Mus musculus: one gene and its partner. The protein of the gene in region 2 interacts with the protein of the main gene of each other region in a pairwise test. Links are inferred from orthologs where the notes say so. Each region holds a gene or a part of one and is shown on either strand. Other genes may lie near its edges.

The links.
Region 1: the proteins of Homer3 (region 2) and Pkn1 interact in binary tests that used the Homo sapiens proteins (3 or more experiments, as listed by UniProt). The two-hybrid records come from large-scale screens. The link is inferred for Mus musculus from reciprocal best matches to the Homo sapiens genes HOMER3 and PKN1.

What each region holds. Positions count from the first base shown.
Region 1 is NC_000074.6:83,675,180-83,678,698, reverse strand, and holds part of Pkn1 (serine/threonine-protein kinase N1), read left to right. Parts: intron 1-692; coding exon 693-768; intron 769-851; coding exon 852-993; intron 994-1,081; coding exon 1,082-1,175; intron 1,176-3,519. UniProt on the Homo sapiens protein: PKC-related serine/threonine-protein kinase involved in various processes such as regulation of the intermediate filaments of the actin cytoskeleton, cell migration, tumor cell invasion and transcription regulation.
Region 2 is NC_000074.6:70,281,792-70,285,814, forward strand, and holds the start of Homer3 (homer protein homolog 3), read left to right. Parts: upstream 1-1,207; 5' UTR 1,208-1,220; coding exon of another isoform or gene 1,221-1,309; exon of another isoform or gene 1,310-1,733; intron 1,734-3,442; coding exon of another isoform or gene 3,443-3,510; coding exon 3,511-3,524; intron 3,525-3,602; coding exon 3,603-3,759; intron 3,760-4,023. UniProt on the Homo sapiens protein: Postsynaptic density scaffolding protein. Binds and cross-links cytoplasmic regions of GRM1, GRM5, ITPR1, DNM3, RYR1, RYR2, SHANK1 and SHANK3.

The sequences.
Region 1 (3,519 bases), about 13 Mb from region 2:
CTCAGTCCTGCTGCTTTCTGTTCCCTGGTCCTCGGAGATGTACCTGGGCTTCAGGCTTCTACCACAGTGGGCCCCACTGCCTGAGGCGCCATGTTATCCTCCCATGGTGGGCTGTACTCCCTCAGCTATGGCAGAGTAGAGCTCCCCGAGAGTGTCCTGTCAGGTACTCTGCCACAGTGAGGAGAACGCAGCATGCACTTATGAGGGCAGACAGTGAGTGCACTGACCACTGCTTCCATGCTCATCAGCTTTCTCTTGCTTGACAGAACACTCGGGAGAAATAAACTTACAGGAAGCAGGATGGTTTCAGGGTTGCAGCACTCACCTCATTGCTTCTGGGCTTGCAATGAAGCAGGCCGTGGAGTAGAGCTGTTCACATGCAGGCAAGGAGACAGAAGGAGGAGAAGGGAGTAGGTCTGGTAGCTAGAGACCTGCTCTTGCAGTCACACCCTTCCCTGTGAAGCCCCCTGCTTCCTTCCCAGCAGTCTGATGCTCTGAAGCCATCGCTCGATGAACCCATGAGTGGATTCATTGACCCTCCTGTACGTAGTCACTGCCAACAGCTCAGCTTTGCACTCGGCTGCTAGAGCCAAGCCACATGTCCTCAGGGACACTTGGTGTCATGGTGCCCCATACATAGGTTGTGTGTGTATCTATTCCTGCGACCACTGCAGCGGAGTGTGTCCCCACAGGTCACTTTCCGAAACCCCATCATCGAGCGGATCCCTAGGCTCCAAAGGCAGAAAAAAATCTTCTCCAAGCAGCAAGGTAAGGAGGGTCTGAGCGATCTGGGTTGTACAGCCAAGGACCCCAGGATGTCATGGGTGGTGACCCTACCCTTGCAACTTCAGGGAAGGCATTTCAGCGAGCCAGACAGATGAACATAGATGTGGCGACTTGGGTGCGGCTGCTCCGTAGACTCATCCCTAGTGCTGTGGCCACTGGCACCTTCAGTCCCAATGCATCTCCAGGTGCTGAGATCCGGCACACTGGGTAAGGAAGGAGCGTGTGGCCTGTTTCTCTGTTGCTTCTGTTTCCCAGCGTCCTAGGTTCCCAACTCACCCTCCTCCCTCTCCTGCAGAGACATATCCATGGAGAAATTGAATCTCGGTGCTGACTCAGACAGCTCGTCCCAAAAGAGCCCACCAGGGCTGCCCTCCACCTCATGCAGCCTGGTGAGTGTGCACCACTCCCCTCTGGGCAGGGGAGCCTGGGGGACCTGCTGTTTTTGTTTTGTTTTGTTTTGTTTTGTTTCCAGAAACCTCCAGATGCTAACCCAGGATCATCCAGGAGAACAAGGCTGGTTGTTTGGTTGTTTTTGTTGAGTATAGTTTCAGGCTTTGAACTCTTGAACCCCTCAGGCCCCTGTGTGCTGAGATTGCCATGCCCAATTTATAGGGTAATGGTGATGAAATCCAGGGCTTTCTGCATGCTAGGCAAGTGCTCTGACAACTACATCTCCAGCACTTCCCCTGTTTTCTATACCCATTTAAAATATCAACGTGGAAGCTGGGCAAGGTGACACCAGCCTATCTTCCCAGCAGTGGCATGGCAGAGGCAGGGTTGTCACCACAAGTTTGAGTCCAGCCTAGACTACATAGTAAGTTCTAGGCCAGTTTAGGCTACATATCAAGACCCTGTCTCAGAAACCAGAGCTGGGGGTGTGTGCTTGGAGACTAAAGTTTGCTGAGTAGTATAACTCTTGGGCAGTGTGCTTGCAGCTCTGGGTTCCATCCCAGGCTGATCAAAAGAAAAGAACAAAAGGAACAAAGTGTGAGCTGGTGGAAGAGGGCAGAAAGGTGCCTGTGTGCCGGCTGCACTGGGAGGCAGAGGCGGGGGGTGGGGGTGGGGCGTCTGGAGCGAAGTCACCTCAGCTGTGGAGTTGGATTTTGAGATTGTACTATAGCTTTTCTCTCTCCAAATCGTCCTGTAAACCCCTTCTTCCTCTCTGTCAAATTCATGGCCTCTTTGTTCATTAATTGCTATTGCATGCATCTATGTGTGTATAAATATATATTCTGATATACATCCTGCTCAATGTATATAATGTCACTTTTCTGTATGTTTTCTTTTCTTTTTTTTGTTTTTCTAGACAAGGTTTTTCTGTATAGCCCTGGCTGTCCTAGAACTTACTTTGTAGACCAGGCTGGCCTCAAACTCAGAAATCTGCCTGCCTCTGCCTCCAGAGTGCTGGGATTAAATGTGTGTGCCACCACCACCCGGCGGCTCTGTATGTTTTCAAGTCTGGCCATTTAATTCTAGATAATCAATTAGTGTGGTTTTCCTTTGGGAAGACCCTCTGTCACTGAAAACTTACTTTAATTGGCTGTAGTACTTTCAGAAGGGTTGGGCCTCGTGGGCTTTGCCCCATCCACTGTGGTATATCTGTAGTTATTGTCTTTGTCCAGCTCATTCGGACGGTCATGCTGTTGAGATGGACACAGCCTTATAGCGAACTCCCCAATCCTCTGGCCCTACCAGTCTTTCTCTCTCAGTGTTCTCTGAGCCTTAGGTATGGAAGTGTTTTGTAGATGTATCCACTGGAACTGGGCTCTACACTTCTGCATTTTGACTGAGTGTGGCTTTCTGTGGTAGTCTCCATCTGTTGCAGAGAGAAGTCTCCTTGGTGAGGGATGAGGAACACTTTCATCTGTGGGTACCAGGCAGAGATTTTCAACCTTCCCAATGCTGACCCTTTAATACAGTTTCACATGATGTGAAAAATAAGATTATTTTCATTGCTACTTCACAACTGTAATTTTGCTATTGTTATGAATCATAATGTAAATATCTGTGATAGTCTTATGTGACCCCTGTTAAAAGGTCTCTTGACCAGCACCCAGGAAGGTCTGACCTACAGACTGAGAACCACTGAGAACCATAAATATTTAGAGTGTAGTTAGGGGTTGTGCTGGTTTAGTAAAGCGGTGGCTGTCGGTCCTCCTCCAAGGTCTGTGACCTCACTAACCCTGCGTAGTCGGCTACGTTTCCAGCACCTGGCATTACTTAAGGAGTGAGTCTTTTCTTTTTTTTTTTGGCTTTTTCGAGACAGGGTTTCTCTGTATAGCCCTGGCTATCCTGGAACTCACTCTATGGACCAGGCTGGCCTCAAACTCAGAAATCTGCCTGCCTCTGCCTCCCAAGTGCTGGGATTAAAGGCGTGCGCCACCACCGCCCGGCTAGGAGTGAGTGTTAAGTCCAGTTAGGGAGCTGTTGATCCAAAACACAAAGGAAAAAAGCCACAATTTATATCAAGGGCAAACTGTGTTGCTCTATGATAGGGGTTACCCAAAGAAGTGGAGGTGTAGCTGTCATGAACTTCCTCTAGTTCTGTGGTCATAGATGTTTTTTGTAAAGAAACAAGGAATTGACTTCGTTCTGTGAGTCCGATGAGAACTGCGTGGTTGAGTGATGGCAGCCACGGAGGCCATGCCATAGACAGAACTTGTGTGGGTTACTAGGTACCATACTTCTTTCCTTTTCTTCCCTCCAACCATTTCTAGCTCTGGCAGGCTGCCT
Region 2 (4,023 bases):
TATCTGACATAAGAAATGCAAAGCTGAGAACCACAGACTCTGATTCGGACACAGCCATTTGTCCCCAGAACACGGAAACCCTTGCAGAAATTTCTAGAAAAGTGCAGCAAGGGATTTGCCACAGGGCTAGGGACCCACTGGCAGATAGGTGATCCCCTGAAGGATCCTCGGCGGGCTGCTGTGGCTGTGGACAGAGGCAGGACTCAGCCTACAGAGCTGCAGGGAGTTTGTCCATTTCATTGGAAGACAACACTAAGAGGACACTTGGATCCTAAGACTCTGTAACAATAACCTAGTTACTCCCAGAATTTATTTTTGAAAGTCAGGGTCTCACTATGTGGCCCTAGATGGCTTAGAACTCACTATATAGACCAATCTAGCCTAGAATTCACAGAGATTTGCCTGCTTGTTCTTTTCGTGGGAATTAGGATGGAGCCCAGGGCACCACAGACGCTTGACGAGGGCGTTACACACTGATTTGCAGTCCCACCCCCACCTTCGTTTTGGGGAGCTGGGCTCAAGCTGTCTTCATGCTTCAGTTGCTGAGGGTCCAGGAACTTTTTCTTTTCGAAGAAGCCACATGAAGACTCAGGGCCACCCTTGGTAGGAGGCAGGAAAGCGAAGGGTCGTTGTCCACCCATTTTCCGTGTTTCTCCCTATCTCTGGGTCACCAGATCACACTCCAGGACTTCTGCCTCTGTCTTCACACCCTGGCCCGCTACCACCCATCTAACACCCACACTTTTGTCTTCTCAGCCTTCAGCCCATCAGTCCAATGCTCTGCCCCAAGGCCGATCCAGACAGACCCTCCTCTTCCACCCCTCTCCCCACCCCGCTGTCTTTGTCCGCAGTCACCTTCTGTCTCTCTCCGCTGCCCTCCTGGATCCCTCCCCTCTGTCCAGTACTCTGCCTGATCCTAGGCCCCTGCCCTTAATCCCTCTGATCCCAGCCCCAGACTTTATGGGCCCCTCCCCCTCCTTCAAAAGCCACGCCCTCCCCACTTCCTTCAGTTGCCTCCCACTGGGTCCCCCCTTCAGAAGTTCCTCCTCTTGACCTCCTGGTGCCCTCCCCTTCCTCTGCCCTTTCACCCCGCCCAACTCCCCCCTCCATGTCCGCCCTCCTCTTCTTCCCTCTCGGGGTCCCCTCCCTCTTCCCCGCCCTCCGTAGCTGGCCAGCAGGGGGCGCTGGGCAGAGGCGGGGCGGCGCGGGGACTGGCCGCGATGGGACCGGAGGCGGCGCAGACAAAGGCGCGGGCGGCGCGGGGCGCGCGGAGGGCGCGGGCCGGAGGCTGCAGCGACGACGACGCGGGGTGAGCCAGACAGGGGGACCCCAGCTTCCGAGGCACAATCAGGGAGTCGGGGGCGCAGGAAACGCAGACGGTTTCCAAAGTTGCGGACTGTGAGGCGGGGCCCAGGAGCTGCGGGGTGCAGGCTGAGGGGTTGGGATCCTGGGGTGCCGGCTAGGGGGCCGGCTCAGGTGCTGGCTGGGGCGCGGGGCGCGTCTTCACCGGGTTCCTCAGCCGAGGTCCGGGTGTTGGGGACGCCGCATCGCGAGGCTCCGCCACTTAGAAGTTGCGGGTCAGCGGCTCCCGTAGTTGCCCTCACGAGCTGCCCTGGAGGGAGTGGGAACCGGTGCCAAATGGGAAGCCGGCGTGGGGCTCCTGGCAGGGTCCCCGCCGCGCGCGATCGCGGTTCTCCGCCCCGCGCCTCTGCTCCAAGGCGCGTGACTACTCAGTGAGTAACTTTTCCTGATGGTGGCAAGTCCAGGCAGGAGTGGTCCGACCGGAAGGGCCTGGGTTCGGGGACCCCTTTCCCCCAATCTCCGCCAGTTCCATTAGCGTCTCTGACTGGACAACCCCCCTACCCTCCCTCTGTATGGGAACTTAGGTTTCGCAGCTTCCCAAGACAGCTTGGAGGGGCCCTGACCTCAGACCCCGGGTCTTGACCTCCCGCACCCGCAGGACCCTCCTTCTCCTCCAATCTCCTTAGTTGAAATTTGGGGGACTTAGGAGAATGACAGGTGCAAGCGTTCATAGGAGGCTGGGGAGCTCCGTTCTCCCGGTCCTGTTCCCTGTTCACATGGTGGGGACTAGGATGAACCGCTGTGTGCAATGCGTGCTTGTGTGTGTGTGTGTGCCTGTGCGTTGAGACATGGTCCCACTCTGTAGCCCAGGTTGGCTTCAAAGTCTCCTCATTCTCCCCAGTGCTGGTGCCACCATACCAGGCTTTCATTTTTTCCTTTTAAGTAAGCTCCCTGGAGACTCAGACACAGAGTTATCTGGGCTAAGTGGTCCTTTCTCTCTCTCTCCTCTCTCTCTCTCTCTCTCTCTCTCTCTCTCTCTCTCTCTCTCTCTCTCTCTCTCTCTCTCTCTCTCTCTCTCTCTCTCTCTCTCTCCTCTCTCTCTCTCTCCCTCCCTCCCTCCCTCCCTCCCTCCCTTCCTTCCTAGAGTTATTTATTTTATTTATACAAGTACACTGTAGCTGTCTTCAGACACATCAGAACAGGGCATCCAATCCCATTACAGATGGCTATGAGCCACTATGTGGTTGCTGGGAATTGAACTCAGGACCTCTGGAAGAGCAGTCAGTGCTCTTACCCACTGAACCATCTCTTCAGCCCCGAAGTGGTCCATTTGTGGGATCAGCGAGGTCCTGATTTTCCTGTTAGGTCCCTGGAAGCACTCCACTTTTACTCCTTGAGATGGGTTTATCCCTCCATGATGACCAGGGAGGCCTTGAACTCCTGGGATGCATGATCTAACCGCCTTGGCTTTCAGATAGATAAAACCACAGGGCCTCACCACGGATCCAGCTTTGTCCCACATTTTGATGCAAGGCCCTCTGGGAGGAGAGGGGGGCTGTTGGATGGGAGGGGATGAATGAGATGTTCCACTCGGTTGATCTTGACCTCATGTTCAGTTCCTGTGGGAGGACACTTGCCCAGTGGTGGGTAACCTGGACAGTGAGTATAATCCTGCGTGCCAACAACCAGGCTATTCTCCAAGCCATATCCTACCTACCCTTGCAGTTTGGTGGCACTGTATCACCTCTCTGGTGACACTAGAGATCTAGAGATCACTCAGTCCAGTTGTGGGGGCTTCTCCCAAAAGCAGGGCCTTTTGTTTATGCCTACAGCTCAGTTGATAGAGAGCTTGCATGGGATGCAGGATGCTCTGGGCTCCATCCTCAGCACCACATGAACCAAGAATGATGGCACAAGCTGCCGTCCCAGCATTTAGGAGGTGGAGGCCAGAGGATCAAGAGTTCAAGGTTGCTGTTGGCTGCAAAGTGATTTCAAGGCCAGTCTGGGCTGGGACTGAGGAAGTGGGTGTCTGACCAGCAGCTGCTCCTTTCCTGCCTCGCTGGTTTTGTGAAGTCACCTGGAGGACCCACTTGGCCTGAGTATCCTTGGAGCCTTACTCACAATCTTCTTCTTTCCCTAGGGGACAAACAAGTGACTCCTGTCACCCCTCTGGGTGCCCCTTAGAGGCCATCCAGCCCAACCTGACCAATGTCCACAGCCAGGTGAGCACTCACCCACTCTGGTCTGGCCTTGCCCCTGGGTGGCATCAGACTCCTGCAGAGTTTCTGTCCCTGCTGTAGGGAACAGCCAATCTTCAGCACCCGGGCGCACGTATTCCAGATCGACCCCACTACAAAGCGGAACTGGATCCCCGCCGGCAAGCACGCACTTACCGTGTCCTATTTCTATGATGCAACCCGAAATGTGTACCGCATCATCAGCATCGGGGGTGCCAAGGTCTGAGCAGGGGTTTGGGGGCAGGTGTGCAGCCACCAGCCAGGCTGGGTGACTTGGGAATCAACGATCCTTTCCCAGACCTAACGTCTTCCAGAAATAACTCAGTGGTGGGGTCTCCGAGAAGGGACAAGAGTTCTACTGCAGCCCTTCACTGGGGGATTCTAGGCAGGGGCTCCACCTGTATGCCTTCCGATAGCTCCTCACTGGGGGATCCTAGGTAGGGATTAGCTACTAAGACAGATGCCTAGAGTTCCTTTTTTAATT